Alligator mississippiensis: one gene and its partners. The protein of the gene in region 3 interacts with the protein of the main gene of each other region in a pairwise test. Links are inferred from orthologs where the notes say so. Each region holds a gene or a part of one and is shown on either strand. Other genes may lie near its edges.

Evidence for each region.
Region 1: the proteins of TRIM32 (region 3) and ABI2 interact in binary tests that used the Homo sapiens proteins (3 or more experiments, as listed by UniProt). The link is inferred for Alligator mississippiensis from reciprocal best matches to the Homo sapiens genes TRIM32 and ABI2.
Region 2: the proteins of TRIM32 (region 3) and RABAC1 interact in binary tests that used the Homo sapiens proteins (3 or more experiments, as listed by UniProt). The two-hybrid records come from large-scale screens. The link is inferred for Alligator mississippiensis from reciprocal best matches to the Homo sapiens genes TRIM32 and RABAC1.
Region 4: the proteins of TRIM32 (region 3) and UBE2V1 interact in binary tests that used the Homo sapiens proteins (3 or more experiments, as listed by UniProt). The link is inferred for Alligator mississippiensis from reciprocal best matches to the Homo sapiens genes TRIM32 and UBE2V1.

Annotation. Positions count from the first base shown.
Region 1 is NC_081827.1:172,083,196-172,090,962, forward strand, and holds the start of ABI2 (abl interactor 2), read left to right. Parts: upstream 1-4,751; 5' UTR 4,752-4,920; coding exon 4,921-5,037; intron 5,038-7,767. UniProt on the Homo sapiens protein: Regulator of actin cytoskeleton dynamics underlying cell motility and adhesion. Functions as a component of the WAVE complex, which activates actin nucleating machinery Arp2/3 to drive lamellipodia formation.
Region 2 is NC_081838.1:29,452,187-29,459,744, forward strand, and holds RABAC1 (prenylated Rab acceptor protein 1), read left to right. Parts: upstream 1-4,551; 5' UTR 4,552-4,566; coding exon 4,567-4,676; intron 4,677-5,077; coding exon 5,078-5,185; intron 5,186-5,440; coding exon 5,441-5,668; intron 5,669-6,070; coding exon 6,071-6,168; intron 6,169-6,423; coding exon 6,424-6,525; intron 6,526-6,831; coding exon 6,832-6,920; 3' UTR 6,921-7,113; downstream 7,114-7,558. Other genes in the region: cornifelin homolog, read left to right, coding at 3,154-3,295, 3,439-3,575, 4,192-4,281. UniProt on the Homo sapiens protein: General Rab protein regulator required for vesicle formation from the Golgi complex. May control vesicle docking and fusion by mediating the action of Rab GTPases to the SNARE complexes.
Region 3 is NC_081835.1:54,504,837-54,512,084, forward strand, and holds the start of TRIM32 (E3 ubiquitin-protein ligase TRIM32), read left to right. Parts: upstream 1-4,231; 5' UTR 4,232-4,331; intron 4,332-4,461; exon of another isoform or gene 4,462-4,555; intron 4,556-5,662; exon of another isoform or gene 5,663-5,862; intron 5,863-7,229; 5' UTR 7,230-7,248. UniProt on the Homo sapiens protein: E3 ubiquitin ligase that plays a role in various biological processes including neural stem cell differentiation, innate immunity, inflammatory resonse and autophagy.
Region 4 is NC_081832.1:13,255,363-13,262,280, forward strand, and holds the start of UBE2V1 (ubiquitin-conjugating enzyme E2 variant 1), read left to right. Parts: upstream 1-3,904; 5' UTR 3,905-3,986; coding exon 3,987-4,008; intron 4,009-6,918. UniProt on the Homo sapiens protein: Has no ubiquitin ligase activity on its own. The UBE2V1-UBE2N heterodimer catalyzes the synthesis of non-canonical poly-ubiquitin chains that are linked through Lys-63.

The DNA of each region.
Region 1 (7,767 bases), on a different chromosome or scaffold from region 3:
CATGGGTGACCATTGCCATGCCACGAGGGCTCCTCATATTTAAATTAAAATCCACAAATCATTCAGAGAGGGAACCCTAAAAAAATCTACCTTGTTTGGATAGTAGGGTACTAACTATGAGCTGGTGAGTGCCCAGATGCTAAAGCAATAGGGGCTACATGTGCACACTTAAGAAAGAGCCTTATATTATACCCTAAAAATCATAAGACAGATCATCTGGCAGATCATGGGGAGTAGGATCCACAGATGGGAGATCTCAGAGATCTCTCTGCCAAGATCAGTCAGAGAACAGAGACCAAATGAACACGCACAGATTTTACCTAAAGGCCAATAATGACAACATCCTAAAGGTTAGGTGGAAGATGATGCGACTACAATCTCCCTCTCATCAAAATGTGCTGCTGCTAGTCCAAATTAGAAACTGTAACAAGGTCTGTGGAAATATCCCCCTAAATGTCTTGGCAACAAGCTCATCTAGCAGAAGGATCATGTAGATATTGTACCTGCAATAATTTCTCCAATAATATGACTAATTTAAAAGAAAAGAATGAATGAAGAACCTTGGAGCTCCTCACCACCATCTTGGCTTGGAGCATGTCCAAAGAGCCCCCAGAGTATGCGAATAACTACTGGAGCTGCAGGAGGAGGAGATGCAACATCTGGGGTTGAGGCTATGGACTAAGAGGGAGCATAATTAATATGGTCCTGAGGGAGTGGCAAATATGGGTCTGGGATAACTGGAACTGGGTTTGTTAGAAGCTGGAAAATCCACACCTTCAGAGACAGCACTTTAAACACAATTTTGTGGTTTGATTTCAGTGGGGTCTTATAGTCAGAGCTCCTCAAGTTGGGACCAGTATCACTCTGTAAATCTATGAGGGTGGGGTTCCTGTGTAATAGTCAAATGCACAGTGGAAGTGTGTCTGGCTTAAACAAAAATCAGAAATCAGAATATAAAACATGACTTAATCTTTTAAAAAAAGCTCATGTTTTGTGGGTATGACTCATGATTTTTGAACTTTTGGGATTGCCAATACTGAGAATGTACATAACTAAAATATTCAGTCCTGGTAGTTGTAGAATATTTATGACTGGCTGTTCCATTGTCTTCACACATCTATATGGCATTATGCTGGTCATAGCTATGAAATGTAAATTAGTCTTGTTCATCTTAACTGTCTGTAGAAAAATTAAAACATGCTAACTAATTTGTGTTGCAAATTTTAACCCACATAACACCTTGTACACATTTTAAAACACTTTAACAAACATGGGGGTCTAATCATTGCTCACATGGGAAAGCCCATGGAGGCTGAATGGAAGAAATATCCAGGAATTATTTTGTGTAGTGATTCTACCCCCCCCCCCCTTCAAATATTCCCTTAGGGGAAGGGACTGAACAGGATTTTCCCAGAAGTTGTGGCTCTGGCTTGCAAATCCTGTGATTTCTTTCAGATCCCAAAATAACCTAGGAAATCAGTTTAAGATCAGGCCAACCCAGATGGAGGCCCCCATGTTAGCTCCAAATCCCTGGCAACAACATGTCCCAGAACAACAAAGGCAGTGCAACAACAAAAGTATTGCAGAGTTGGGGGCTCTCCAGCAGATGACTACCTCAATCAATTCCTTGCAATATAAAGACTGTGGAAAAAATAGAAAGTCATACAGCCTGGAGCCATGTTATACTTGAAGAAGAAGCCTTGTGAGGCTCATGAGGGTGATGCACGTGCCAGTTTATCATTTACCCTTGTGTAGATACCCAGATCTGAATAAAATTGTTTTGGGAAAGTTGAAATATTTTTACTGAGACAATTGATTACATTTTCTATCTAGGCAGGTGAGCAAGAGCTCTGCACAGAAGACTCAAAACACCACCTTCATATGCTGATTAAAGGAGAACAATCACAAATTAAATCTTTAAACACTCTTGTGTGTAGATATCATCTCAATGTTAAAGATATTAAATGACTTGCCAGTGGTCACAAAAAGCCAGAGGCAAAGTCAGAGTAAATAAGACTTATCTCTCTTGATCCCGAGTGTGCTTTAGTTACTAAATTTTCCTTCTTTTCTGACCATGGTGGATTATACATTTGTCTCTGTTGATTTTGAAAAGCATACTCATTTGTGGCCGAGAATTTACCCTTCCTTTAACCCCTGTACAATGGCTGCCTTTTATGTGGGGTCCCTACAAAAGAAACATTTTGTTCTTCCTTTGCTGATCAGTAGAAGTGAGCAGCAGTTACTTAAAAGGCACAAGGACCTGACACTGGTGCACATTGTTGTCAGTGACAAAGCTCCTATTGATAACAGTAGCAGCATGATTGGACCTCTCTCTGGAAACATGCTGCTAGCATGACACTGGCATACTGCTGCTAAATAAATTAGTTTAAAGTGACCAAAAAGTCGAAGTTCATGGAATGGAAATAATGGTAAAAATTACTGGCAAACAAATACTTTTTTTCCAAGTTATTCAAGGAACTTAAGACACAAACTTGATGGAAAAAATAAGCCTCGACAGAGACATGCTTAAAAAGCTTGCCATAATGTTTAGCATATGAGTTGCTCCACTTACCCTGTACTTCTTTAGTACATTGCTGAACTGAGGATGAAAAAAAACCTTGCTGTTAGCATTTAGAAAGAATTTCCTATAGCTCTGAAACTCTCAGGAATTGGCAACATATAATAACGTCTAGTACAGTAATTCTCAACCGTCTTAGGTCCATGGCAGCTCTTGGAAAAATGCTAGCTCTTAGCTTTCGCTCATTTTTTTTTTGACTGCAGGAAAATAATAATGGATTGCCTCTGTTGCAAGGAACTCAGACCACAACAGACAGAATGTTTTTGATGTTGTGGATTCCTATCTGACATCTCTGGGTTTATTTGGTAGTTGAGCAAACACCTACACGTGATTCACAATGCTAACATTGTACCCTTACAAAGATCTCATGGTAGCCCAGAGTGGCGTGGCACGTGGATTGAGAATCACTGGTTTAGTACTTTTCCTGGATTTGTTGATAACTCACTATATTTTAATATTAGTGTATAATTCTTACAATTTTTCATATTGTATGTTGTCCTAGATACAGTGTTTGCATTTGTTTCCTTTGTGGACATTAACTGGGTTCAAGAGTCATCAACTTTCACCAGCTGAGTAGCAGAGTGTATAAAAGAGGGGAGACGAAAGGAAAAATCACTGTACTGTGGAGGAGCAATGGCCTCAAGCTTCAGCAGGGGAAATTTAGGTTGGAGATTAGAAGGAACTTTTCTGACAATGAGGGTGATTGAGCATTGGAGCAGGCTACCTAGAGAAGCTGGGGAATCTTCATTCACTTGACTGAGCTGGTTTAGTCAGGGGCCATCCTGCCTTAAGCAGGGTCTGGACTAGGTGTCCTCTTGAAGTCCCTTGCAGCTCTTTCTTTTGCAGCAGGCCCAGGCCAATGCTGCTGTCTGCTAGGACTTTAATGAGATCCAGTTTTTCCCAATGAAGTATTAAAATAAGATGTAAATGAATTATTTTTTAATACTGTCATCAAATAGTAATATTTGGGCCAACTAACATTTGGACTGACAGTAATATTCAAATGCCAATTATAATTACCTTGCAAATGCAGCCTATTTTGCATCTTATACCCCATGCGTGAGGAGCTCAAGCTTTACTTACTGCGTCAAACCAACTACATGAAGCTTTCCTTGAAAGAAATTCAAGGTCTGAGTAAAACACTGCAGAACAAATGATCATAATGATGGGACAGCAAGCAACAGTGCACCTATTCTTCTTACCCAATACGGTGCTACCAAGTGTCTGAGGCGTGCATGGGCCCCAGGAATGTGTGAAATTTGTGCTGGGAGAGGGTAGAAACTGCAAAGAAAGTCTTTAAGTTTTAAGCCACTGGTTCTCAACTGACCTGCCCTCCACTGGACATGAGCCCCCCGCCACAACTTTAGTGAATCAAGTGGCACCCACTGAAACCCAAATCTCTCTGCTGTAGGGCAGACCCCTTGCAGAGGGGCTGCCAGTGCTGTGGAGAGGTCTCTGGGGCAGGAGCCTGAGCCTGAATTCATCTCCTGAGCTCATCCCCTCATGCGTGCCAGTGCCCTTCAAGGGATCTGGCGGCATCCCAGGGTGCCCTGGCAGGGTCTCTGCCTGGCCGCTTCACCCCGGCTGGGAAATCGCTGCTGTCGCCGGTGGCAACGCGCACAGAGCACGAGCTGAAGCGAGCTCCGGCTCGAGTCCGCTCGTGCTCTGGGGCTCTGAGGCAGCTGGTTTCGTGGGTCTGACGCAAAAGCGGGTCGCAAGAGGCCATGAAAGGGCCACGAACAAGATCAACGCACTTTAACTGCGGGTTCTCCTTTAAAGGAGAAAAACGTGGGAAACCGCCGCGTTACGCCCCCCCCAACAGCTCCAGGCTGCCAGCGAGCAGCTACTCGGGACCCCCCGCCCTGCACACTGCGGGGCAGCGGGCGGAGACTGCCCGCCCATGTTCACGACTGGGGCACTACTCGGGGGGCGCCCCCCTCCGTCCCTCGCCTTCAGGATGAGCGCCTTGCCAGCCGGCTGCAACGGCCGCACCGCGGAATCGCCCGCCCGTTCCCGGCGCCTCCCCTGATTTCGTCGCCCGCCGGCAGCAGCGAGAGGGAAGCGTTTCCCCGGCGTACCGCCGGATGTGACCCCCGGGCAGGCGGGCTGCACCGGAAACGCGCGGGAGGCGGGGCGGGGCCGGGCCCGGCGCTTGCGCAGTGGTGCCGGCGGCGGCGGCTCCCGCTGGGCTGCGCTGCGCCCCAGCCGCGGCGGTGGGTGTTCCTCCGCCCCGCGCCCGCCCTCCCTCCCTCCCCGCCCGGCCGGCCGGCCGGGTCTCGGCGGCGGCGGTGCGCTGAGCTGCGCTGCGCGCGGGCGAGGAGGAGGAGGAGGAGGATGTGAAGATGGCGGAGCTGCAGATGCTGCTGGAGGAGGAGATCCCGGGGGGGCGCCGGGCCCTGTTCGACAGCTACACCAACCTGGAGCGGGTGGCCGAGTACTGCGAGACCAACTACATCCAGGTGCGCGGCCGCCAGCGGCGGTCGGGGCCGGGGCGGGTCCCCCCGAGCCGCCGCCGCTTCCCGCCCGGGCTCCTTTGCCGGGGCCGCTGCCTGCGCTGCGAGGGGGCGGCTGTGCACGGGGCCGGCCGCCTCGTGGCTCTGGGTCTCTCCCCGCGGCCCCCGGCCACTGCAGCTGCTGGAGGAGGGCGAGTCGCGACAGGAGAGGGGCCGGAGGAGGCTCGGCTGTCCTGGAGGAGGGGAAGGGAGGGGAGCTGAGCCCCTCGCCACCCCGTCCGCACAGAAGAGATCCCGGCCTCAGCCTGTGCCCTCGTCGTTTTTCAGGCACCAAATTGCTCTGGGAGGGTGAGGCGGTGCAGGAGTGCCCCCTTCCCCAGAGAGCTGCGTGTGAGGGCGTGTTGCCGCTGCTGGCATTCACAGTGCATTGCCTCCCTCCAGATGATTGAAACATGTTTGGGTATATGTATGGGCAGCTCTTCATTCATTTTTATTTGAAACCTTGGACAGCGAGCCTTCAAGGATTGGGGAGTGTGGGAAGTCACAGGACGGCAGGGATGTAATTCGAGGGTTGTGCTCTGTGCGTGCCGTGTCTGACTGGCGTGCTAAAGACATCATCTTCATATTGAAGCATTTTGGTAACCTCTTGTACCATGACAGCATTTGTATTTTAGAGCCAGTGGAGGACTCTTTGCTGCACCAGACACTGTGCAAGCGCAGTACCAGGAGATGGTCCCTGCTCCGTAGAAATGACCGCGTAAGAAAAAAGAAGAGGGATTCAGATGCAGGAGTATTAGGGGACAGTGAGACGATATTAGTCAGTCTTGTAGGCAGTAGTTTTGGCATACCAGCAACCTAAGTTTAGTTGAATTTCTTTCTTGGGTGTCATGGTAAAGAAAGACTTGTAAAGATTGATTTGAAGGAGAATGATGAAGTGGCTTTGTAGATGTTTATTGGGGAGTGCTTCCTAACTATGAGGGGCAGTATCAAGGGAAGTGGGAAGGCGCTTGATAGTTTAACAAGCAGGCATTGGAAGCAGATGTTAATTGGCCAGTTGGAGGCAGGAATCAGCCTCTTGGTACTGAATGAGAGGGAGAGGGAAAGAAGCACGAGGAGTTCTGCTGCATGGTTGAAGGGCCTCAGAATCCGAGTGTCTTGTGAATGTGCTTGTAACATGCTCTGAGCTTATCATTGTGGCATCATTTGGGCTGGGGATTCAAAGGTGGCCAGATGTGAAAGTAGCCACATCACTGCCTGTAGAACAAGGGCCGGCACTGTTTTTGGGCAGAGTGTGAAAAACACCCACAGCCTCAACCGCACAGCAGGAGCAGGCAGCAGACGAGCCCTGAGGGGCCCAGTTTTTGTTGTGGCAGTGCAGCCCTAGCCCCTTCCCGAAGGTGTGAATGCCAAGCAGAATGCCTTCGCGTGCTCTGGCATGTGTGGGGGGGGTGTCTACCCTTGCTGTAGAAGGTTGGGTGGGGTGGCACCTTAGGGCCTAACTATTCAGAGAAACATGAGCTTTTGTCAGGAGCAGCCTGCTGTGTTGGGTAGTATGAATCTGTCTTCCATAGCCAACAAGGCACAAGTTGATGCATCTTAACCATGCTAGTCTACTGGGCTATTAAGGCTTGGGGAGGACCTTTGACTTGACCTTGATTATAAAATCCAAGTTCCTGATTTCATAAAACTTAAAACTGAAAATTAACCATGTGGTTAACCATCATGCAAACTAGATTTGATTACATTGAGGCCAAGAGGTGCTGCAGTGCTCTTGGAGATAGAGGTGGGGAATCTAGGCGAAATAGTCCTGCTATTGGTATCCAACACATTTGTAACTAACCTTTCCTTTGGTACATGATATACTAATATAAGAGCCTAAAAGCTTCTGATGGCAAATAATCAGATAATACACTGCGAAGATAAGGTATTTAATTATGTAACAAAAATGCGAGGAGAGAAAGTGTGAAAGAGCTGGTTTCTGCCCAGAACACTGGCTTTTTTGTCATTTTGTCTTGAAAAGCTGTTCTCCTCCTTAAATTTCTCTCATCAGCTGAGTCTCTTCACTGTTAGTCCAGCCAGTCAACTAGTATGATGACATGCTTTTCAGGAGATGCTAACTTATTTAAACAGAAAAATAAATTGGTACCTGCTAATAGAAAAATTAAATGTACAGGCCACACTCAATGCAAAGGTTATTTTTAGTAGCTTGCTTAGAGCAAAGATAGACATAAGGTTACCAACAGCAGTTCACCTAAATTTTAAATGCATAACTAGAGATATTAAACTGAGTAATTTTATCCAAGTACAAAAAAGGAGGGGAGAGAGTATTTTTCACCAGATGAATCTTATGCCTTCAATAAAAATAAATGATGGCATGGTTCTGACTTCTACCTTTTTCTTTAAAAAGATAAAATAGAGCATGTGCAAGGATTTTTATAAAGGCTTTGTCTAGAAGAATGTTTGTTAGAACTAACAGGGTATACCAATTGGAGGCAGGAATCTGATGCTGGTTATTTGAAGCCTCATCTGCTCATGCTGTGCAGCCTGTGGCAGTGCAGCCTGAGCTGTGAACTATATACAGTTAATTAAGGGATGATCAAAAGCTTGACTTCTTATATAGGGTCTCCAATATAATTGAAAATACAGTAAAAGCCCTGTTTTCTGGCATGAGTGGGGAATGCGGGGTGCCAGTAATCTGAAAATTCTGGTTACCTGAGGCATGGGGGTTTCTTGCCA
Region 2 (7,558 bases), on a different chromosome or scaffold from region 3:
CAGGATGCCTGGGTTTTCTGGGAGAGGAGAGGGGGATGGGGTTCTGAGTGGGGGGGGAGCGGGAAGCCTGGGTTTTCTGGGACAGGAGTGGGGTTCACTGTGGAGGATGTGGGGTCTGGTGGGTTGCAGCAGTAGGGAGCTGGGATCCCAGACTCCTGGGTTTTTTCTCCAGCTCTGAGTGAGGGAAACAAGGGACTGGTGGGAGCAGGACATGAGGGAGGGGGAAACTGGGAGGTCCTGGGAGTTACTGGGTCCCCAAAGCCCACCCCACACCCCTCCTGCCCACATCAGCCTTTCCCCATCCAGTCCAGCCCCCCTCGCCTCCCAAATAACATCGCTGGATACCCCAGGAGGCCAGACCTCCTGCCAAGTTCAGACCCCCGGAGCTATGGGGGGATACAGGGGCCAGAAGGACCAGCAATACCTGGAGTCAGCAGCGTAGCCAGGAGGCCGAGGATGAGTAGGATGTGCATGGTGCTGTACGTGGGCACCGGTGCCCAGGGGGTTTTATACTTTGGGGCTGGGTGGGGCACGCAGCTCTCACCAAACCTAATCCCCCGGGATCAATTCCTGCCGCACCTGGCGCCAGCTCTCCTGGCCCCAGTGCGTCGTTTCTGGCAGGCCTCCCCGCCCCAGCCCAAACCCCATGGCCCTCCCAGAGCTCCCCCACGGGCTCCCAGCCCCACCCTGCTCTCACCCCCTGAGACCCCACTCCCCTCCTCTCCCCTCCCAGGGCTGGAGACAATCCGAGGGTCCAAGTCCCCCCTGCCAGCAGATCTGATCCCCTCTCCTGCCAGGGCAGGTCCCAAGCAGAGTAGAAATCCAGGAACACCTAGTATTCATTACTTAATTAAGAGGCTCAGACCTCCCTGAGCTGGGACTGGAGGCCTCTTGATCAAGGCAGAGGCAGCCTAAAGGAGGGGCTAACAGCCCAGCTGGATACCCACTGGCACCGAAGCCAACCCTTAAGAGGCCTGGGGCCCTTGAGGCCCTTAACAAAGCCAGACCTAAGGAGGCATGGGGCCCAGCCCAAGCCAGCCCAGCTGCCCTAAGGCAGCCAGTCCTAATGAGGCGTGGACAGCCTGAGCTAGCTCAGATTCTGAGGGCTGGGGTTTCCCCAAGGGGCTCGTTTGCATCCCAGCAGCTCGTTAATTCATTCGCTGACCAATTGTGCTCCCTAAGAGCTAGCCTAGGAAGCCTGAGGCCACAGGTCAAAGCCACGCCGGACATACCGTGTGGCCCCCAGCCTGGCTTCCTTACCCGTGCGGCTGGCACCCTACCCCACTCCCCTCCAGAGCTGGGGGAACCCAGGCGAGGGTCTCACTAGGGCCTAGGGTACTGAACACAGGAAGTGGGCAGGGGCTGCGGGGGAGGGGCTAAATCCAGAACCAATCAGGAACCCTGATGGGAAATTTGGGGTCCACCCCCAAATGACAGGAGCACCTCTCAGCCCCAGGGCCACCAGGGACCCACTGACAAGCTGGACCCCCATCTCATCTAGCCCCCCACCTGGGCAGACCCACAAAGAGGTGTGGCCACCATCTTAAAGGCCCAGACACTCAAGTGGAGGAGGGTGCTGGGCTCTCTCCAGGGCTGGGAGGTGCAGCGCCTGGGGGGTGAGAGCAGGGCTGGGGGCTCCGACTCCTGCCTTCTCTCTCCAGCTCTGGGAGGGAAAGGAGGGGAGTCTGGGGAGCGGAGGCAGGGAGCCCCGGTGCCCAAGTCCTATTCCTGAAAGAGGGGTAGGAAGCGCTGCCAGGGGCCTGTTGTTCTTTAATGGCCTGAAATCCATTATGGACTTAACTAACTGTGCAATTAGAGGGCGAGTGGGGCCCTGCTGCCCTCTGCTGGAGACCCCAGAGCCCAGTTCTACCCAGCCGTGCCCCACAGCCCCCCACCCCAGAGCCAGCTGCCCCCAGTGCTGGTCTACCTGGAGCTGGGAGAGAACCAGGGCATCCTGGCCTCCTCCCCCCAGGCAGCATGGGAACCCAGGCCCCCCCGTCCCCCCCACACACGCACGCACCCAGTACCTCACTCCCAACCCACAGCCCCCTGCCCCCCCAACCTGACTCCCCCCCCACTCCTGACCTACAGTCCCCTGGACCCAGGCCTTGCACTGCTCCAATCGCCTCCCCAGGCTTGCACTTCTCCCACAGAACCAGGCATCTCAGCAGGGGGGATCCTGGCATTATGGGGCATGGGAAGGAAGAGGGGTGGGCAGGCAGACGGATGAATAGACAGCTGAATGGATGGACAGACGGATAGAGTTAGACAGACAACAGGCAGGTGGAAACCCCTAGGCGCCCAAGCCTCTCCCAGAGCTGGAGAGAACCCAGGCGGCCGAGGTGGCGCCCAGGGAGGCCAGCCCTGACTGCGACACCACCCCTCCCCGAATGGGGAAGGAACACAGGTGCCCGGGCTCCCAGCCCCCTGCTCTCACCCCCAGACCCTACTGCCCTCCCAGAGAACCCAGGCATCCTGGATGATGGGCTTCCTTTGACGGTGCAGCCCCAGTGCCCCTCACTCCTGACCTGCTGCCCCCCACTCCTGCAAGTGCTCCTCACTCCTGACCAGCAGCCCCCCACCCCGGCACGTTCCCTGGGCAAAGTCCAGCCGGGGCGGGGAGCGGAGCCACCCACTCAAATATTGACCCTCGTGGGGCCTCGCCCTGCCCCGCCCGCCCCCACCCCAAACACACACAGGGCCCAGGGAGAGAACTCAGGCATCCAGACTCCCAGCCCCCCCTGCTCTCACCACCCCTCCCCTGCCCGCTCCCACGCCCCAGGGCTGATAGAGTCTGCGAGCCCCCACCCCCCTGCATCCAGGCACAAGGGACTGGACCAGGACCAGCGCAGGAGCCAAGGACACAGGTGGTGTTGGGGAGTGCCGATGCCCCTCATGCCCAACCCGCGGCCCCCTGCCCTCCAACCCTGCCAGTGACCCTCACTCCTGACCCACAGGCCCCTTTCCCCCCCAGCCCTGCTGGTGCCCCTCACTCCCGACCCACAGTCCCCTGGCTCTCCACTCCCAAGCCGCAGCCCCCTGCCCACCCAGCCCTGCTGGTGCCCTTCACTCCCGACCCTCAGCTCCCTGCCCCACAGATACCTGGCTGGGGGGGGTTAGGGGTCTCTGCTTTAACCTCCCCTCCCCCCCCAGACCACCATGTCCTACCAGACGGAGATCATTGTAGACTCACAGCCGGGGCCGCTGGGCCCTGGGGCAGTTTTCAGCGTGGGGGCGCTGCCGGGGGGGGCCTGGAGCTCCGAGCTCTGCGACTGCTGCTCTGACGTGGGCACCTGTGAGTAGGGGGGTGGCTCTGGGGGTTTGGGGGGGGTCTCAGGTGCCCTAGGGGAATGGGGTCCCCTAGGGGCACCTCTGGAGGGGGGTGTCTCTGGGTTGGATATCCAAGGCAGGGTTCCCAGAGGTGTGCCCCACTCCCAGGTCTGTGTGGTGCGCTGGTGCCCTGCATCTTGGCCTCCCGGGTCTCGGAGCGCTTCGGCCAGACCTGCCTGCTGCCCTGCTTGCCCGGGGCCCTGGTGGCCCTGCGGACCGGCATCCGTGAGCGCTACCGCATCGAGGTGGGTGTGGGACAGGGGGGCTGCGGGTTGGGAGTGAGGGGCACCGGGGGGAATTGGTGGGGGTGCGGGTCAGGAGTGAAGGACACTGTGGGGAGGGGATTGAGGGGCACCAGAGGGAGTGGAAGGGGCTGCAGGTTGGGAATGAGGGGCACCAGACAAGGGTGAAGGGTTGCAGGTCAGGAGTGAGGGGCACCAAACAGAGGGCTGTGAGTTGGGAGTGAGGGGCACCGGGGGTGTAGTGGGGGGCTGCAGGTCAGGAGTGGGGGGCAGCGGGGGTGTAGGGGGGCTGCAGGTCAGGAGTGGGGGGCAGCGGGGGTGTAGGGGGGCTGCAGGTCAGGAGTGGGGGGCAGCGGGGGTGTAGGGGGGCTGCAGGTCGGGAGTGGGGGGCAGCGGGGGTGTAGGGGGGCTGCAGGTCAGGAGTGGGGGGCAGCGGGGGTGTAGGGGGGCTGCAGGTCAGGAGTGGGGGGCAGCGGGGGTGTAGGGGGGCTGCAGGTTGGGCGGGAGGGGCAGCGGGGATGTAGGGGGGCTGCAGGTCGGGAGTGGGGGGCAGTGGGGGTGAAGGGGGGGGGGCTGCAGGTCTGGCGTGAGGGGCACCAGCTTCCCTCTGCCCCCCCAGGGCTCTGTGTGCGACGATTGGCTGGTGATGGTTTGCTGCCTGCCCTGCGGCCTGTGCCAGCTTTCCCGGGAGCAAGACGCCCGGCAGTGACGGGGGACGGTCATTTGCACAGATTTGCATGCATGCAAATGAGCTCACGCAAACGACCCTACCCCAGCTCCCCGCTGACACCTCAATAAAGAGCTGATTGGAGCCGCGCTGTGGACGGAGCCTTATTTCTCCCCGTTTCAAAGTGGCATCTGTTTGCATATATGCAAATCAATCTGTTAAAGGAGCCCCGCCCCAGGCTCAGAAGGGGTGTGTGTGGGAGGGGCATGTCCCATCCCCACGTTCCAGGAAGGGGGGCGCTGGAGGAGCCGGACTCTATTTCCCAGCATGCTTCGCGCCCCTCGCCTCTGGCTCCCGGCATACCCCGCGCCCCGCCCCCCCCGCAGCGTCGGTTACCCGTTGCCACGCCGACAGCCGCGCTCCGGCTCGGGACGCAGGTGAGGGGCGGGCGGGCGGGCGGGCGGCGGGGACCCGTTACCATGGCGACCCGGGATGCAGGGACCGCGCATCCCTGCTGGGGGGCGGGGGGGGACACACCGGGATCGGGGCCGGCCCCGCCCTGCACGGGCACGGATCGGGCCCCCTTGGGCACTCCGGATCGGGCCCTGCCCCCCGGAACCACCCCGGAGCAGGGCCCTATCGGCGACCCCCCTACGGGCCGTGTCCGCCCCTGCCCCCGGCACTGCGCACGCACCGGGCCGCGTCGGGTCCCGGAAGCTCTAAAAGGGGCCGAGTCCCCGCGGGACCTGCGCCCCCCCCCGCCCGGATCGGGCCCCAGGGGCTTGTAAAGGGGCTCAGCCCCGCCCCGGAGCTCCCAGCCCCCCGCTCTCCCGCCCAGGCCCGGCTCGGGCCCCGCCGCCATGGCCGGGAAGGGCCCCGCCAGCCCGGAGCAGCTCTTCCACCCGGGCAGCGACAGCGACAGCGACCCGCCCGCGCCCGGGGCCAGGTGCGGGGACCCCGGGGCTCGGGGGGGTGGGGGCGGAGGTGGTGGCGGGGTGCGGGGCCCGGGGCTGAAAGGGGGGGAAGATGCGGGACCCCGGGGGGGGGCGGGGCTCCAGTGGCGGTGTGTGGAGCGGGGGGATGCGGGGACGCGGGGGGGTGCGGGCCCCCGGGAGGGGGGGTGCGGGGATTCGGGGGGGGGTGCGGGCCCCCGGGAGAGGGGGGCGGGTCCCCCGCAGGGTCTCACCCCCGTCCCCCGCAGGTCCCCGCCGCCCCCCGGGCCGGGCGCGGCGCTGGGCGCGGGGCTGGCGCGGGCGCGGGGCTGGCTGGGCCGGTGCGGGGGTGTCCGGCCGTGGCCGCGGCTCCTGGACCCGCGCCGCTTCGCCAAACCGCGGGACGCGGCGGAGCTGGGCCGGCGCGTCACCCGTAACGCGCAGCGTTTCCACGGCAACTACGCGTGCGTGGCCGCCGCCCTGGCGCTCTACTGCCTGTGAGTGGGCGGGGCCGGGGCTCCGCGGGGCGGGGAGGGGGCCCGCTTCTATTGGGGGGCAGGGTCTGAGCCTGGTGGGTTAAGAGACCCATCCTGCAGGGGGCGGGGCCAGGGCCGGATGCATGGGGCGGGGCTCCGATGCTGGGGGTTGGGGTCCTGATGGGGGCAGTGGAAGCTGATCTGCCCCCTCCGGCCCCCGCAATTCTGGGGGGACAAGCCCAGATCCTGGCGGGTGGAGTGGGATTCTGGTGACCTGGGCCCTGAACCTGCCCCCAGGGGTGGGAGCTGAGGAAGCCAGGATGTCTTATGAGCGCTGGCATGGCAGGTGATCAGGGGAGTGGATCGAGGTCACCTGGGAGCTCTGCTCCCCCCCCCCCCACTTACCCTTGTGTCCCCCCCCAGCATCACGTCCCCGCTGCTGGTGGTGGCTCTCGCTGTCTTCCTCGGCGCCTGCTACGTCCTGCACGTCCGAGCCCAGCAGGGGCCACTCGTGGTCCTGGGTGAGGGGGCCCGATCCAGGCCTGATCCTGGGAAGGCAGCAGGGGGAGGGGAGGGGAGCATAGGGCAGGGGCTTGTTCCTCTGGCTGCAGGGGAGAGGGGGCATTGAGCTACCTGGGGAGGGTGGGGATTGGGTCTTTTCCATAGGGCCCGGGCCCAATCCTTGGGCATGGTGGGCTGCCTCTGGTAGTGGGGCTGGTCTGGGGTTAGGGTGGTGCTGGGTACCTCTGACCCTCCCATTTCAACCCCCCTCCCAGGCCGTGAGCTGAGCGCCGGGCAGCAGTATGCAGTGGCCGGAGGTGTCTCCTTCCCCCTCTTCTGGGTGGCGGGGGCTGGATCGGCTGTCTTCTGGGTTCTGGGTGAGTGAGGGAACCTCCCCCCTCCAGCTTGCAGGGCAGGCACTGGGCTGCGGGTTGGCAGTGAGGGGTACCGGCAGGACTGTAGCGGGGTGGGGGACTTTGGATTGGGAGTGAGAGGCAACAGCAGGGCTGGGATGGGCAAGGGCTGTGGGTTGGGAGTGGGGGACACCGGCAGGGCTGTAGAGAGCGGCCAGGGGGATGCGGGTGGAGAGTGAGGGGCACCAGCTGGGCAGGTGGGGTGGGGTACTTACGGCCCCCCCCCCCCCCCCATCCTCCTGTCTCCCGTGCCTATCCCTGACCCCGCAGGCGCGACCCTGGTGGTCATTGGCTCTCACGCCGCCTTCTACGAGACCGAGCCGGCCGAGGGCGAAGAGCTGCAGATGGAGCCTGTGTGAATTCCACTCCCAGCGGCCCCTTCTGCCCCCCAAGTCTGCCCCCCTATGTTGGCCTCTCCTCTGTCCCACCAGCTCTTTGGAGCCCCCTTCGCTGCAGCTCTGCCCCCGCTCTCCCAGTAGGAGAACCCAGGTATCTGGGCCTCCCCACTCCACGGGAGGCCTCTTGATGCTAATAAAGCCCTTTTGAGTGCGAGCTCGTGTCCTGTGTGGAAGGGATGGGGCAGTGTTGAAGCACACACGCCTTGTGCACATGGCACGCCCCGCTCACCTCCCAGCACCATGTGTCTATGATGTGTTTGGAGTTGGAGCAGGGGCTGGGAGCCTGGACACCTGGGTCATTGTCCAATTCTGCTCCCAGGAACTGAGATCTGGGATCTGAGAACTGGATAGCTGGGTTCTCTCCAGCTATGGGCTGGGATTGGGGGCTGGGGGGTGAGCAACAGGGGCTGGGAGCCCAGACGCCTGGGTGCTCTCCAGCTGCGGAAGGAGGCTGGGGGGATGACTTGGAGTAGGTGGGAGCTAGGAGCCAAGATACCTGGGTTCTCTCCAGCTAGGGGAGGGGGGTGGGGGGGATTGCTTAGGGCAGGTGGGGGCTGGGAGCCCGGACACCTGGGTTCTTCCCTGCTCTGGGGTCTAGG
Region 3 (7,248 bases):
TCAAGGGCTCATCTCATGGGTGTGCAGCTCAAGGACCACTCTCTTTATCCTGGAAGGTCAATATTTCACCCATTCCTCCCCAACACGCATGCATACGTGTACAATAGATTTTCCTTAGCATGCTCACAGTTCATTGCCATCAAATTTTGCCCGCTTGCATCACTGTAAATTCACAAAGATCTTGCCAAGTCTCGTTCAGACCTTCAACACCACCTCAGACAAGGACTTCTGGCTACCACTAATTAGGCAGAAATGGGGGGTGGGGCAGGAGGAGGAGGTCATGTTAATGACTGATGTGGGACCAAACATACCAGACAGACATGACCAAAGACAATGCCATCTCTCTGGGGAACGCGCATCCCCGAGGGTGCTGGTACTCTATTCAGTAGATGTCCGCAGCATTTTACTGTCATCAGGGAATGGAGATGGAAGCTAGTAAGGACGCAATGGATTTCATTTCCCCTTGTGACTCAACTCAGGGCTTTTCTCTGCTCCCTAGAGAAGTGCACTGACTGGCTACACTGCTGAGCTCCATTATTTTATGATAACTCCCCCAATCAGAGGATGGTGCCGCAGATTCTGGTTCAGTCTTTGGCTTCGGAGCACAAATCTGAGCACAATCCATGATCAGAGGTAGGTTTTTAGATCCTTGTGGCTGCATACTCACAAAGAAGAGAGCCAGTCTGTATGTCTCCATTAATAATCAAATGGTTAAGAGTCAGAAAATCTGGCTCCTATATCCATCTCTTCTATAGAGTGACTGCACAGTCATACTCAAGCCACAAAAATCATGGTATGCCTCAGTTCCCCATCTGTAAAATGGGGACCCTGTTAATGTAATATAGCAGATATATTGCTTATATGTTACTAGATACCATTAGAACCTCTCCACTGAGCCTCAAAGGTCCTGAATTACTAACTTATAAAGGAGATGAGGAGAGGCTGAGGGAACTGGACTTATTTAGTTTGGAGCAGAGAAGACGGGGTGGGGTAGCAACCTTCAACTACCTGAACCAGGTTCCAAAGAGGATGGAGATGGACTGTTTTCAGTGGTGGCACATAATAGAACAAGGAACAATGGTCTCAAGATGCAACAAGGGAAGTTTAGGTAAGATATTAGGAAGAACTTTCTCACTAGGAGGGTAGTAAAACACTGGAACAGGTTACCCAGAGACATGGTGGAAACTCCATCTTTGACAGTTTTAAATACCTAGGCAGACAAAGATTTGGCTGGGATGATCTAGTTGGGGCTGGTCCTGCTTTGAGCAGAGGGTTGGATTAGATGTGACCTCCTGAAGTCTCTTCAAACCCTAATTTTCTATGATTTTATGATTCTCCATTAATTCAAGAACAAAAATATATGTTACTGGAATAGAGGGACTTGAATATTTGCTAGAACAATAATTCTGAACCAGGATTATGCCATCCTTTTAAGGATACCGCACAATATTAGTACTGTTTGGCGTGCAAACACCTATACGATTCACAACATAAACCTAGATGTTTCAAATAGAAACCCATAGTGTCAAAAACATGTCTGACCTGTTGTGGTCCTTCTGAGTTCTTTGCAGCAGGAGACCTACTCTATTTGTTTCTGTAGTAAAAACAGATAAGCAAAAGCTAAGAGCTGGCATTTTGGGGGTGGGGGTGGGCCTTGAGTCTAAAATAGTTTGAGAACCCAGTGTGCTAAGGTCATGGGCTTCTGATCAGCTTTCTTTATTTGCAGGGTTTTTGACAGCAGCCCAAATATTCATTATTAGAAACTCTGAATATAAGGGGAGCCAGTCAGTTTGGGGTCTTCTAGTATCACAGCAATGGCAGCACTGTATACTTAACATGCATTGCTTAAAGATTTATCAGTGCCATGGTATTTGGCAGCCGCCAGACTGACAAGCCCCTATAATTTTCAAGTCAAGTCTGCTATTAGAGGCCTTACAAATGGAGGGGGGCTAGTTGGTTTTGGGGTTGCTAAAACCGTGGCACCAATAACACTGTAAGCAAAGCTTAGTAAGTACATACGTACCCTGTGCTGTCAGGGCTACAGTGCCAACAGTTCAGAAATTGACCAGCTTCCCGAATTTCCAAGGTTTTTCTCCTCATATTTCGAGGCTTCTGTTACAGGGGGAGTCAGCCTTGTTTTTGGCAGGCAAGCCACAAATTAGCTCTGCATCCTCCCAAGTCCCACTCTGATCCCTTTCCCCTACCTGATCTGTTCTTCTGCTTTTTGCTCTATGCTCCCTGACCAACCTGTTGCTCTGCTTTTTGCTCCCTGCTCTGTGCTCCCTGCCTGATCTGATGCTCTGCTTTCTGCTCCCAGCCCTATCTGCTGCTGTGCTACCTGTCCCCTCCCCAGTCTGCCACAGGGCACACACACAGATGCTGCCTGTCCCACACGTGGCACCTATGGTGCAGGTTGGCCACCCCTGTTCTATTAGATGCTTTGAAAATAAAGGGAGATAGCAGCCACGAAACAGATTAGTCCTGCTCATTTCCGAAGCTCTAATGGCATCTCTTTGACAGCAGCTTCCCGTTCCCTGTTTCTGGCAGTTAAATCAAGGCCAATTAGTTACTAGGTAAAGAACTACCATTACAGTCAACATGCAATTATCCAAGTACAATGAAGTTATAAAGTAGATAGCAGAGCTGAAATATGCTATGCACTTAAGCAGTGTATGCACTTAACCAACATGGTAAATTAAAATGCAGCAATACTAGATGATACAATGCGTGGGCAATATAAAAGTAAGCTAATTATACACTTCCCAATATTATATAAGTGAAATACATTGCATCTATAAAGCAGTCTGAGATCCTTGGATGGAAGGTGTGATGCATCTTAGAAATATAGGAACGTAACTGGAGGGCGCCTCCTTTTTTGTCGGTAGGTGAGGAATCCCCCTGAGGTCACCACCTCAGTTGCTCACGTACAACTATAGGGAACAGTATCCAATATACCAAGAACAGCTTGTCTCATGATCAGGTCCTATCCATGTCAAATCCTACAAGCAAAGAAGGGCAGGCTGGGATGCAAACCCCTGCTTCCTCTTCTCTACAATGGGGGTTGGTATTAGAGCAACTAAATGGGTTGCTGGCCTCCAAGAAGGGAAGCAGGCCTACTCGCAAATGCAGGCAAGACCTGGCTCTTCCTAAGCCCCAGCCTCATGATGCTGCCTAAACCACCCTTTATGCACATCTCTGCAAAAAAGGACCTGGGGGTTACAGTGGACAATAAGCTGCATATGAACCAACAGCGTGCCCCAGTTTGGGGGGTTTTTTAAGGAAAATTTGTTGTGTTCCAAGCCAAATCCATGAGTCATTCAAGAACCGAATGTGGCCCTGCTACCGGCAAACATCCTCCACCCCCTGGGGCTTCAGATGCTTCTAAATCCTTTGGTGGGCATCCTACATGCAGGCCCAAGCCCAGAGGCTTGGGGTTTGGATGACTCCGAGTTTTGCTTGCCCTCAGCCATACGGCTGCAGAAGCAAGCTAGGGAGGAGACTCCGACTTCCATAAAGTGGGTGTAACACCAAGATCTTCCCACTGGAAATGAAAGTGGGAGGTTACCTACACATTACTTCTGCGGATACTACCGTGTGCCACAAAAGCGACTAGGAAAACCCCCATAGGGGTCCTGGTATTTCCCCTGCCGGGTAAGTATATAGTACGAAGTATGCATGATATTAATCCAAAGCCAAGGCCTAGTTGCCGAGAAGGCTAACGGCCCACTGGGCTGCACGAGCACCAGCGTTGCCAGCGGGTTGATTCTTCCCCTCGATTCAGCACTGGCGAGGCCACATCTGGAGTGCTGTGTCCAGTTTTGGGCCACTGCTATGAAAAGGACACGCACAAATTAGGGAAGAGCCCTGCGAAGGGCAACCAAAACTGGTTCAGGGGGGCTGGGCGGATGTGACAGATGAGCCAAGGGGGCTGGGCTGATGTAGTCTGCAGAGGGGGACTGAATGGCAGCTTCAACGCCCTCCAGACAGCTCGAAACCTCGGCGAAACCCTTGGCTCCTGCGAGTAAGGTCACAGCCACGACCGCCTCGGGAGACCGCAGAGGATGGAGCCGGGCTGCTCTCCACCCAGCCATGCTCTCGAGCTGCAGCAAGGGTGGAGGCTGGGTACCAGGAAAACCAGGGTGAGGAGCATCGGAGCAGCTTCCCCGGGCACGTTTAAGACAAAGCCGGGCTGCGAGCAGACAGGCGGCCTTAGGGAGGGGCCTGCAGCATCCCCGGGCCGGACTACAGCTCCCAGCCTGCTGCGGGCGGACGGGCGGGCGGTGCTCGCCGGGCAGCCTGGGAGCGGCGGCGGCGGCCGGAGGAGCGGGCAGGTAGGCGGCAGGGCCGGGCCAGGCCGGGCCGGGCCGGGGAGGGGCCGCGGATGCACCCACCTCGGGGCAGGGAGGAGCAGCGCCCGGGCGGCGCCGGCTGTCCGCCCTGCAGCGCTGCGCCCGCCCGCCCGCGGCCCGCGGGGACACAGCGCGTCCCGGCCGGGCGGGCGGGCGGGCGGCACCAGCCCGGGGGGCCTGAAGCCTCCGAGAAACCTGGGGCTCCTGTGAGTAAGGGCAAGGCTGGGAGACCCGCAGGCCTTCCTGAAACCCAGGAGCTCCCCTGCCTCTTTCTGCCTCTCTTTCTCTTTCTTTTTCCCCATCTCTATCTCTTTCTCTCCATCTCTCTTTCTCTATCTTTTGCTTTTTCTCCATCTCTCTCTCTCTCCATCTCTCTCTCTCTCTCTCTCTCTCTCTCTCTCTCTCTATCTGTTATTGAAAGGCCGCTGTTTCCTTCTGCCTGTTGGAAATCTGACCCGCTTTAAAAGGAAAAGCTGCTTATCCCTAACAAAAGCATGCCCCCTTTCAAGGCGGTCAGTAGCCCTGTGTGGCATGTCAAGCATCCTTTTTTATCCCTCCTAAGCAAAAGCTGTTGGCATGTTTTCCTACAGACCTAGATCAGTGGGTCTCAACCTCCTTAGACCCAGCCCTGCTTAGACTGAAAGCAGTCCCCAGAAAAAGCCAGCTTTTCATTTTTGCTCGTTTGATTACCCACACACCCACACAATCACACCGCCTTTTTCCTATTGCATGCATGCACACACAATAATACAGCATTTTTCCTACTGCATGCGTGCACACACACGTGCGCATGCACACACAATAATACAGCATTTTTCCTATATTGCATGCATGCACACACACACAAATTTTACATTTTTCCTATTGCACGCACACATGTGCACACATGCACAATTATACATTTTTCCTGTTGCACGCACGCATGTGCACACATGCACAATAATACATTTTTCCTATTGCATGCATGCACACCTGCACGCGCACACAAAATAATACAGCATTTTTCCTCTTGCAGAGAACTCAGAAAGACTACCACAAGGATCGGTGTTTTTAATAGGATGGATTTCTATTTGAAGTAGCTGGGTTTGTCTGGTGAATCGTGTTTGCATACCTAATAGGGCTAATATTGCATAGCACCTTGCAGTACCCTTGGGACGATCTCAAGACACCCTGATTTGAAATCACTAACCTAGATAGTGGGTTTTGTTTTACACTCTGGGTTTCTTGCTTTTAGCATTTTTCAGTGCCATTGTTCACCCCTTGAGGGAGTGTTTTTGGCCTACTTTTCAGCATTCTCTCTTTTGGTCCCACAGCCTCCTACACATGCTAAAGATAAAGGCAACTCTCCTGTTTCAGTGCTGGACACCTGTCACTTCCCAGGGGCTGTGTTAAGTCCGCAGTGCTGCTAATCCAAGGAGCTAAGGAGCAGATCTCAGTTGGTAGTTCAGCGCAACTCCACTACAGGATCGATTCAGTCCCTGGGAACGAGGGCTGCACAGAACAGCAAACTCTGGTTGGTTGAAAGCAGATAAATGAATGTATGCTTCACCCTCCGTGAGCACAAAGTGCTTCTCTCTACTATAAATGTCATCTTTCAGTTGAGCAAGCGGTCTCCTGAAATGTACCAAACCTTTCTGTCTAAAATGCTCCCAAGACTGAAGCAGGCTCAGCAGGGAGGTAAAAAATGCTGAGAGCAAGCAACCCCGACTCAGAGAACAGCTGAGAGTTCACAGTTCTGTACAGGTCTTGCAGCACTGTTCTTCATCTGAAGAACCCCAAAAAAACAACCCTCGGAGATTTCTAACTCCCCTCACCCCAACCCCTCAACCTCTTTTAATGGCAAAGCAAAGCAACAGCAAAGATATGGAAACGGAGTCTACTGAATAATAGCTTAATGATGTGAACCCTTTTGAATGGGGCTGCTTTAGTGAGAGCTGCTAGAATCCTTTCACAGTAGGGAGTGATGTGAAGATACAGGAAACCTGGATAAGCAATGGCATTAGACTGAACCAAAATGGGATGGATGCTACCAGATTGTTAAATTAAATTAAATGAGCTACATTTTAAAACCAAGTCTGAGAATGAATACTGAACACTCACATTCACATATTTTTATTGGACCAGTTATTAACGCTTTCACTGGTGTAGTGAAAGTGGTTTTCCCAGTGTCTTGGGGTACAGAAGCAGGAATGAAGAGATGAACGAAATGCATTAGATTAAATCTGAACAGCATACTTTCAAATGGGCTAAAACTCTATAAACCAGCTTCTGTCACATCACTTACACTGGAATTTATCTTTCTTCAATGCATATGAAACTTGCAGCTGATCATAGTTATCTAGAAAGATAAAACAATCCTATTCACTTTACCCATGTCTGATGCCACACACGAATCTAGATCTCTAGGGTAGACATGCTAGTATCCTAAGGCAGCCAGGATGTGCTCCTCATCGCCAAACTTTTAACGTGCAATATCTGATGATCTCACAGGTCCCTTCCAGCCCCTAAAGTCTATGAAATCTTAATGCTTGGTGTACTTGCCCAGGATTTTCTTACATTATATAAACTTGAAGGCACTCTGAGGACAGAATTCAGTCATCAGTATCTATTGTTGCCCTTGCACTTATTTCAGGTTTGCTTATACATTATATTTTGCAAGTAGATTATTCATTGTATTGGAAAAGGCAAGTTAGCATTGGAATTCGCCCAGTGTGAGACCAGCTGAGATTAATCTGCCCCTTTAGCATGTGGAAGGACCAACTGGATTTCTTCCTTTTTTTTTTTGCCAGAGCTGGCTAATAAATCAGAAATATATTGCATGTACATAGAGCTGCTGGTGGAGAGAAAATAAATCACTTTTTACTTTTTCTTTTTGGGCAGGATCAGAGCACCTTGGAAT
Region 4 (6,918 bases), on a different chromosome or scaffold from region 3:
ATAGACTCAACACAACTTATTTTAAGAAATTAGACCATGGTGAAGCAATTTAAGAATTTAAGCCTGTTTTAGTTTTTGCTTATACTGTAGTGTTTTAGCTTGCATATCACTGTCCTCCACTGCCTAACATTTACTATGTTCACAGGTGGTAATGGCACTTTGGGGAGGGGGGAAAGTTCAAAGTATGATGCAGAACAGTGAATCCAGGCTACATGTTAAATGGAATTCAGTTGTGGCAATTCTGATTTTGATTAAAATCCTGGATTCATGCAACTAACTCTTACATTCACATATGCCAGTATGTATAGAATCTGTGACTAGAATAGAGTGAATTGGATATTAAAATAATTCAGATGATCAGTCATGTGAGTAAGGGGGAGAGATTGTTCCAGGGGCTATATAGGCTGTTCTTAACACTTTTTACTGACTCTTACTTACAATTGTGGTGTTAGCGATGGGATGATTGCACTATGCATTTTCTTGGATGTGGGGAGAAAGGAAAGGTTTACTTCCATCTAACCTTGGATGACTGGAAAAGTCTCCTTGTAAGTTAGAGACAGTTTTTTGCATTCAAATCTCCTGGTAACTAAAAGCAACATCCTCCATTGTATTAGGCTTCCTTGTGCTAAAGTGTGTGTAGTCAAGGTGCAAAAATGGCTGAACTTGCCTAGAGAAGATGATTCTTGTTGTTTGGCAATCGCTTATCTGGCTGATCTGTACCACTGTTCTTAAGTGTGTGGTTTTTACCAGCACTCTTACTTTTACCAAAGGAAAGTATTTCAGGTCCTTCCTACCTTTGTACCAGAGGTGCAGTATCCATGTTTAGGGGCTTCTAATGAAATGCTAGACTACTGAAGCATTTGAAGAAATAAATGGTCATCCTGTCACACTGCAAGTAAAAGGGATAAGCTGGGGCCCAGGCCAATGCAGGGTGGTGGTCGGTGGAAGCTTGCAGCTTTAAAGAAGCTCCATTCAGGCCTCCTTCCCTCCCAACTTACCTTTTCAGCCTCCTGGGGAACATCTGTCCCCATCAGCTCCATTTCCCACCTTGAATCTTTCAAGACTTTGTTCCCCCCTCAGTCTGGCCTATCCAGCCCAGCCCGGCTTATTAGTCTCTCCTGGCATCTTCCCTCCTCATTTCATTGCCAGCAAGATACTGGGACAGGAAGATAAGTTGGACCCAGCAGCTCTACACAGGATAAGGAAGGCCGTTAAAGAGTGAAGAGGAGAGGCAGGGCTCTGAGGTCATCCAAGTCCTCTGCTGTGGTGTTGGGGGAGGTGAGAAGGAGATCCCAAGTGCACTTTTATGCTTAATACTGGAAGTAAGAAGATGGAGAACAGTTCTTCAGGCCCTGTCCAACCACTGCCACAGGCTGAAAGCAGCTGCTCTAGAAGTGACAAGTGCTGCCTCAGCATGAGTCTCAAGTGCAGCAAGGACTCCCATACCCCCTGCTGACCCTTGGCTGGTTTCAGGTTGCTGGGACTCTTGCAACTAAGTATAAGTTGAAGTAGCCTTCAAGCTGTTCTCCACAGTGCAAGGCAAAGGACCATAAAGGGGGTGTCTACATGTTCATTAATGTACAACCAAGTACTAATTTAATGCGCAGTAGCACCGGCACATGCATTTTTAATGACCCTACTGTGCAGTAGTCTAATAGTACTGAGCATAGTACTCAGTCTAGTAGTACAGCATATTAACACTGTTTTTGCTGTGACACACGACTGCACAGTATTATTAGGCTACTGTGCATTTAACATTTTGTGTAGATGTGCCCAAAGAGCAGTAACAGGCCCAGACCAGTTCAGGGAAAGGCTTCAGACCCAGTTTACAGGACTTCCTGGCTTACAGCCTGTACATTTTTACATCTGGCCCTTGCTGCTGAAGTGACCTTGGGCCCATGAAAGTTCACACTGTACATGTCTGATTAAGTCAATCTATACAGTGCAACTCTATCCTGCCTTCTGTCTGACTTCAGATTAACTCCACTAACTACCTTTCCAAATCCTTCAGACATACTAGATCTGTGTGCTTCCTTCAGTGTGTGTGGGTCCCTCCTGGGAGATGCATCTCTGTACAGCAGAGCAGAGCTCCCTTGGGGTGCATTTGTGTGCACAACACATTTTACCAAAACCATCTTCTGGGCATGGAGAAATATCAGCTGGAGAAGGTCAAGTACTGCAGGAGTGCATAAGGAAGCAGAGTCTGTAATGGAAACTGCAACCTTAAGTAGGAGCTTCATGCTGTTATACAGACATGGTGCATTCACTAGTGATGTTATTAGCTGTTCCCTCTCCATTCTCCTATGGATCAGCAATTACTGCCCTCCAGGACCGCTGTGCTTCCTCTCCCATGTTTCCCACAGGTACTGGCAGGGGGCAAAGGTCTGTCCATCCTGCAGAGAACTCTTTATCTGTGAGCACTCATAGCAGCCCTGCTCCTGCAAGAAGCATCGGAGCCCAGTGTGAATACTGAAACCGTTGTGTCCATCCATCTTGCTCCCTGTCAGCAGCTAGTCTGCCCATGTCTTCAGACGGAGTTTCACAGGTTGGCACCCACAGGCTCCCTCGACTCCTTCAGGGGGAGAGTGGGCACTGGCTGGTGTGCTCTGTTCGGTGTCCACTTCCAATGCCCTAGTGATTAATGACCTCGCTCCTGTTCCTGTTTTCGTTTTTATTGTCCCAAGAACTTAGTTGATGTGTTCCCAGTGGCCTCCTTCTCAAGGGAGACTTATAGTGTCCTGTGATGGGCCCAGTCCCATGATCATGGCATGGAAACAGCTCCTGCAGCACGGCTCTGACCCCCCATTCAGGTTGATTTGCCCCCCCTGTAGCTGGAGCACGTCCCCCATGGAGCACTTTGCCACTGCCTCTGTTCAGCCCCTGCCTGCAGGAGTCGCTGCTGCTGCTTGGGTGTCCTCTGCCAACAGCCACTGGCCAAACGTGAAGGATGCCCAGCATGGCCAGGTCCTTAAATATGAAATTATCCTATTGGAAGCTCAAAATTATAGCGTTTGCTAGAAAACTATTGTACACTGAAAAACTATGCAAACGAGTCTTCTTTACCTTGTATTGCTCACTGTAAGTCACCACCGAGCGAGAACTGGGCCCAAGTTGAAGCCTTTCTTTATTTCGAAGCAAGCGGTCATGAGAAAGCACTGACAGCAAACCCAGGAGCTGGATAAGACTCCCTGAGAGTGACTCAGGTTTTGCATACACTGCATTGATTGGCAGCCCCAAAAACTATCCACACTTTGAATACTTCTACTGTTAGTGGTCATCAGGGATCCTGGTTAAAAAACAAACACCCAGTTTTCAAATTTAAAAAACATAACCCAAAATCCACATTTTTCCATGACTAAAATGAAATGCCTATCTATCTATCTAGGTGTTTCATTTTATATAAAGGAAAAAAAAGAAAAAGAGCGAGTAAAAAAGGAAAAGGAAAAAGAGTAGAAAAGGAAAAAGTTAAAAAGAAAAAGTAAAAAAGAAAAAGGAAAGTAAAAAATGAAAAAGGGAGTAAAAAAGGAAAAGAGTAAAAAAGTAAAGGACAAAGTCAAAAAAAGGAAAATGAAAAAATAAAAAAATACAAAGGAAAGTTTTTTTTTTAAAAAGTAGTGTTTCATTTTAATCACGGAAAAATTTGGATTTTGGGTTCGTTTTTAAATCCGAAAATTGGGGATCCTTTCTATCAGAAAAGCAGGCTCCCTGTTGCTCGCACGTCGCACAAGGGTTGCAATAATCGCGCACCTGACAACCCCGAGGACGCTGCTCTCCGGCCCGCCCGCACGGCTTATTCCCCCTCCCACGCTCCGTGCAACGCAAAAACGCCCTTCCCGAGGCCTGCCGGCCAGCCCCGCCCAGCTTCCGGACTGCGACTTTCTGCGCCCGCCCGCCCGCGGCTCCTCCCGTCTCGTCCCATCAAGCCGCAGTTCGCGCGTGGCGGTGACGCGGCGGAAGGGGCGGGCTCGGAGCGGCAGCGGCGCAAGATGGCGGCCACCACGGGCTCGGGTGAGCGGGGCCGGGCAGCCGGCCGGGACCGGGGCGGGGGGCGCCGCGCGGGGCGGGGGTTCAGGCCGCGCTCCCTACTCCTACTCCTGCCCCTGCCCGCGGGGTTGTGGCGGGGCAGCGCAGCCCGGGCCCGCGTCCGTGTCTTGCCGGTGCGGGGCCTCAACACCCGCCGGCTGGGCCCGCCCGCTGCCGCGTCCCCCGGACCCGGACCCGGCCCCGGGCCCACTCGCTGCCCTGGGCCGACACCGCTGCGCCTGGAGCCGGCCCACCCGAGGGCCCCGAGCTGGGGTTTGCCGCCTGAGGGTTTGTCCCCCCACCCCACTCCTGGCCTGGCTGGGCCCTGCCGGCGCCCGGGTCCTGATGCCGCCGAAACCCCGGCGCAGCGTCGGCCGGCGATGCCCACAGGAGAGATTCGCCGCCTTGCCCAGCGCCGCCCGCTTCGCTTTTAAGCAGAGTAACGGATAGAAGTGAAACAGAGTCAAATGAGTTTCACTTTTGGGTACTAATTTCTGCTGTGCCTGGGTTGCAGTTTTGGCCTCCAGGATTTGTTTCAAGTGGTTCCCACCAAATTTTAAAACGAAGCAGGTCCTTCAAGGGGAATCCCTCGTCTTGACCGAGGAAACGAAGAGGATCTTCATTTTTCTCTTGAGGCCGTAGCTATTTCCGTAGATGGTCTTCTAACAAGAGCGATCACTCAAAAGAGAAGGATTTTAAAAATGTGCGAGCAGTGCAGTAGCAGTTGTTACGAGGCCTGTATTTTGCAGATCTGTGTTTAAAAGTCCTCGTAATCCCAATACCGCTGGTTTTTCTGCGCTTGTGCGGTTTGTATTCTAGGAGACCCGTGTTGAAACGCCCAGCACAGGATGTGAAATTGAGACAGGGCCTTATCGGCTTCTTGTGTCACTCCAGCAGGCCGCCGTATTTCTCCAATAATCTTTTGCAGCTTCTGACTTTTCTTCCATTTACATTTGGCTGGAAGAACAAGGCATGTGTCTTTCTTTTTAAGTCAGTGCAGCTCCATGAATTCGTTGTTTGGGTGCGGATGGAGAGGTCATGTAAGATTATTGAGACATTTTTAAACTCGCCTCGATACAGGGCTTCCATAGGGTATTTCAGCCGCACCCCTGGTAGATCTGACTCGATCTATCTCAACTCCCCGTTGAGAGATGCTGTGAGTGTGTAGTTAAGTGCAGAAAATCGGCCGGGCGGCCCCTTTTGTGTCACGTCCCGTCGTTTTTCATGTGATTCTAAAAGTGCTGCTGCTTTATCGGCTCTGCAGAATTGGAAGTGGGAAGTTTGTACTTCAGGTAACGTACAGCTAGGGAAGAACAAATAGGTGTGGCAACATACATACTTATTCAGGCATCTGGTGACAGACATATTTAACCTGCTGCTGGTAGGGTTTTGTTTGTACCTTTCCTTTTGGCAAAAGCTTTGAAAATCAGTGTATAACTTTTCAACACAGTTACGTGAACGCTGAGCCTTTGTAGACAGCTCTGAATTTGGATTTGAAAAATCCAAGTGAGCAACTCCATTTAAATGCAACTGTGAGCTGGTCCAGCTGGTAACTGATGCGGCTCTTTATTCTTGGTGATAAAGCCCACCCTGTGACTACTGATTAGGTTATTAGACTGTCCTTTTCTGCTAAAAGGAACAGTTATGTCCCGTCCCTTTCAGTAATATTACAGTGGCACTGCAGTGCAGTTTGTATTGTACTTTTTTTGATGCTAAAAGTTTTGGATGTGGTGTTGTCTATTGGGTACAGGGACAAGGGAAAGATCAATCCCTTGATATTTATTTATAGTCACCAATTCATGGTGGGCTTTGGGCAAGGAGTGTAATGATCTTTCTTATTTATAAACAAGTTTTACAAATACTTGTTTTACAAAAACCTTTAAATGTGTGCCTATTTGTTTGTAAAACATGTGGATCTGTTTGCTTCTCTTGGAAGTAGCTGAATTCCAAAGGTATATGTCCAATCTCATTAAAAATTTCTAGTTGTAGAACAAATGAAAAGGCAGCATACGTTAGCCCTGTATTTCTATAGAAGGCTGCAAGGGTGATTTTGGAAATGAACAAGAAAGCCATACACCATCTAACAAATGGGTTGAAATGCTTAAAAATTAGAATAATAAAACACCTGGAAAGAAATTATAGGAGAGTCTAGCAGCATGACTTCTGGAAAGGAAAACCGCACTACTCTGAGAATTCATTGAACATACAAATAAAGGGGAACCAGGTGACTTGAAGACTCTCAAAAGGCCATGACTGGGTTTCTTGAGGGGTGAAAGCTATGTCTGTGCTATAGACAGCGCGGTATAGGGATTCTTGAGCTAGCTAGTGTATTGGAAGTAGTATGGTTGTGGCAACAGGGAGCTCTGCGTGGGTTAATATTCCTGTTAAACAGCAAGGTACAGTAGCCTGGCAGAGCTTCATGCTGCCATGTCAGCTAATGTACTTTGTTGCTCAGTGAGAAAATTAGCCTGTGCAGAGCTCCAGGCTGCCCCAGCTATAGTTTGATGGATTCTTAGATTCATAGATTGTTAGGGGCTGGAAGGGATCATTGGGTCCAGTTCCCCTGCACTAAGCAGGAAATGACAACTGGGGACAAGTGACCCCAGCAAGGTGACTGTCCAGTCTCCTTTTGAAGATTTCCAGGGTAGGTAGCTGGCTCTGGTATTGTCTTCAGTGCAGACAACCCTAAGACAGGTGTCAGCAACCTTATAGGGTTAATGGTCCAAGTTAGTGCAGCTCTCTGCGAGTGAGGTGCTGCCCCACTTGCCAGTGCTGTGCTCCCAAACTATCAGCTGTGCTCCGAGCCCTCCAGCTGCTCCCTCTACCACTGAATTGCCACCAGGGTTCCCTGTCACAGTATTGCCATCAAAGGCCATAAGTCAGTGGTCAGCAACC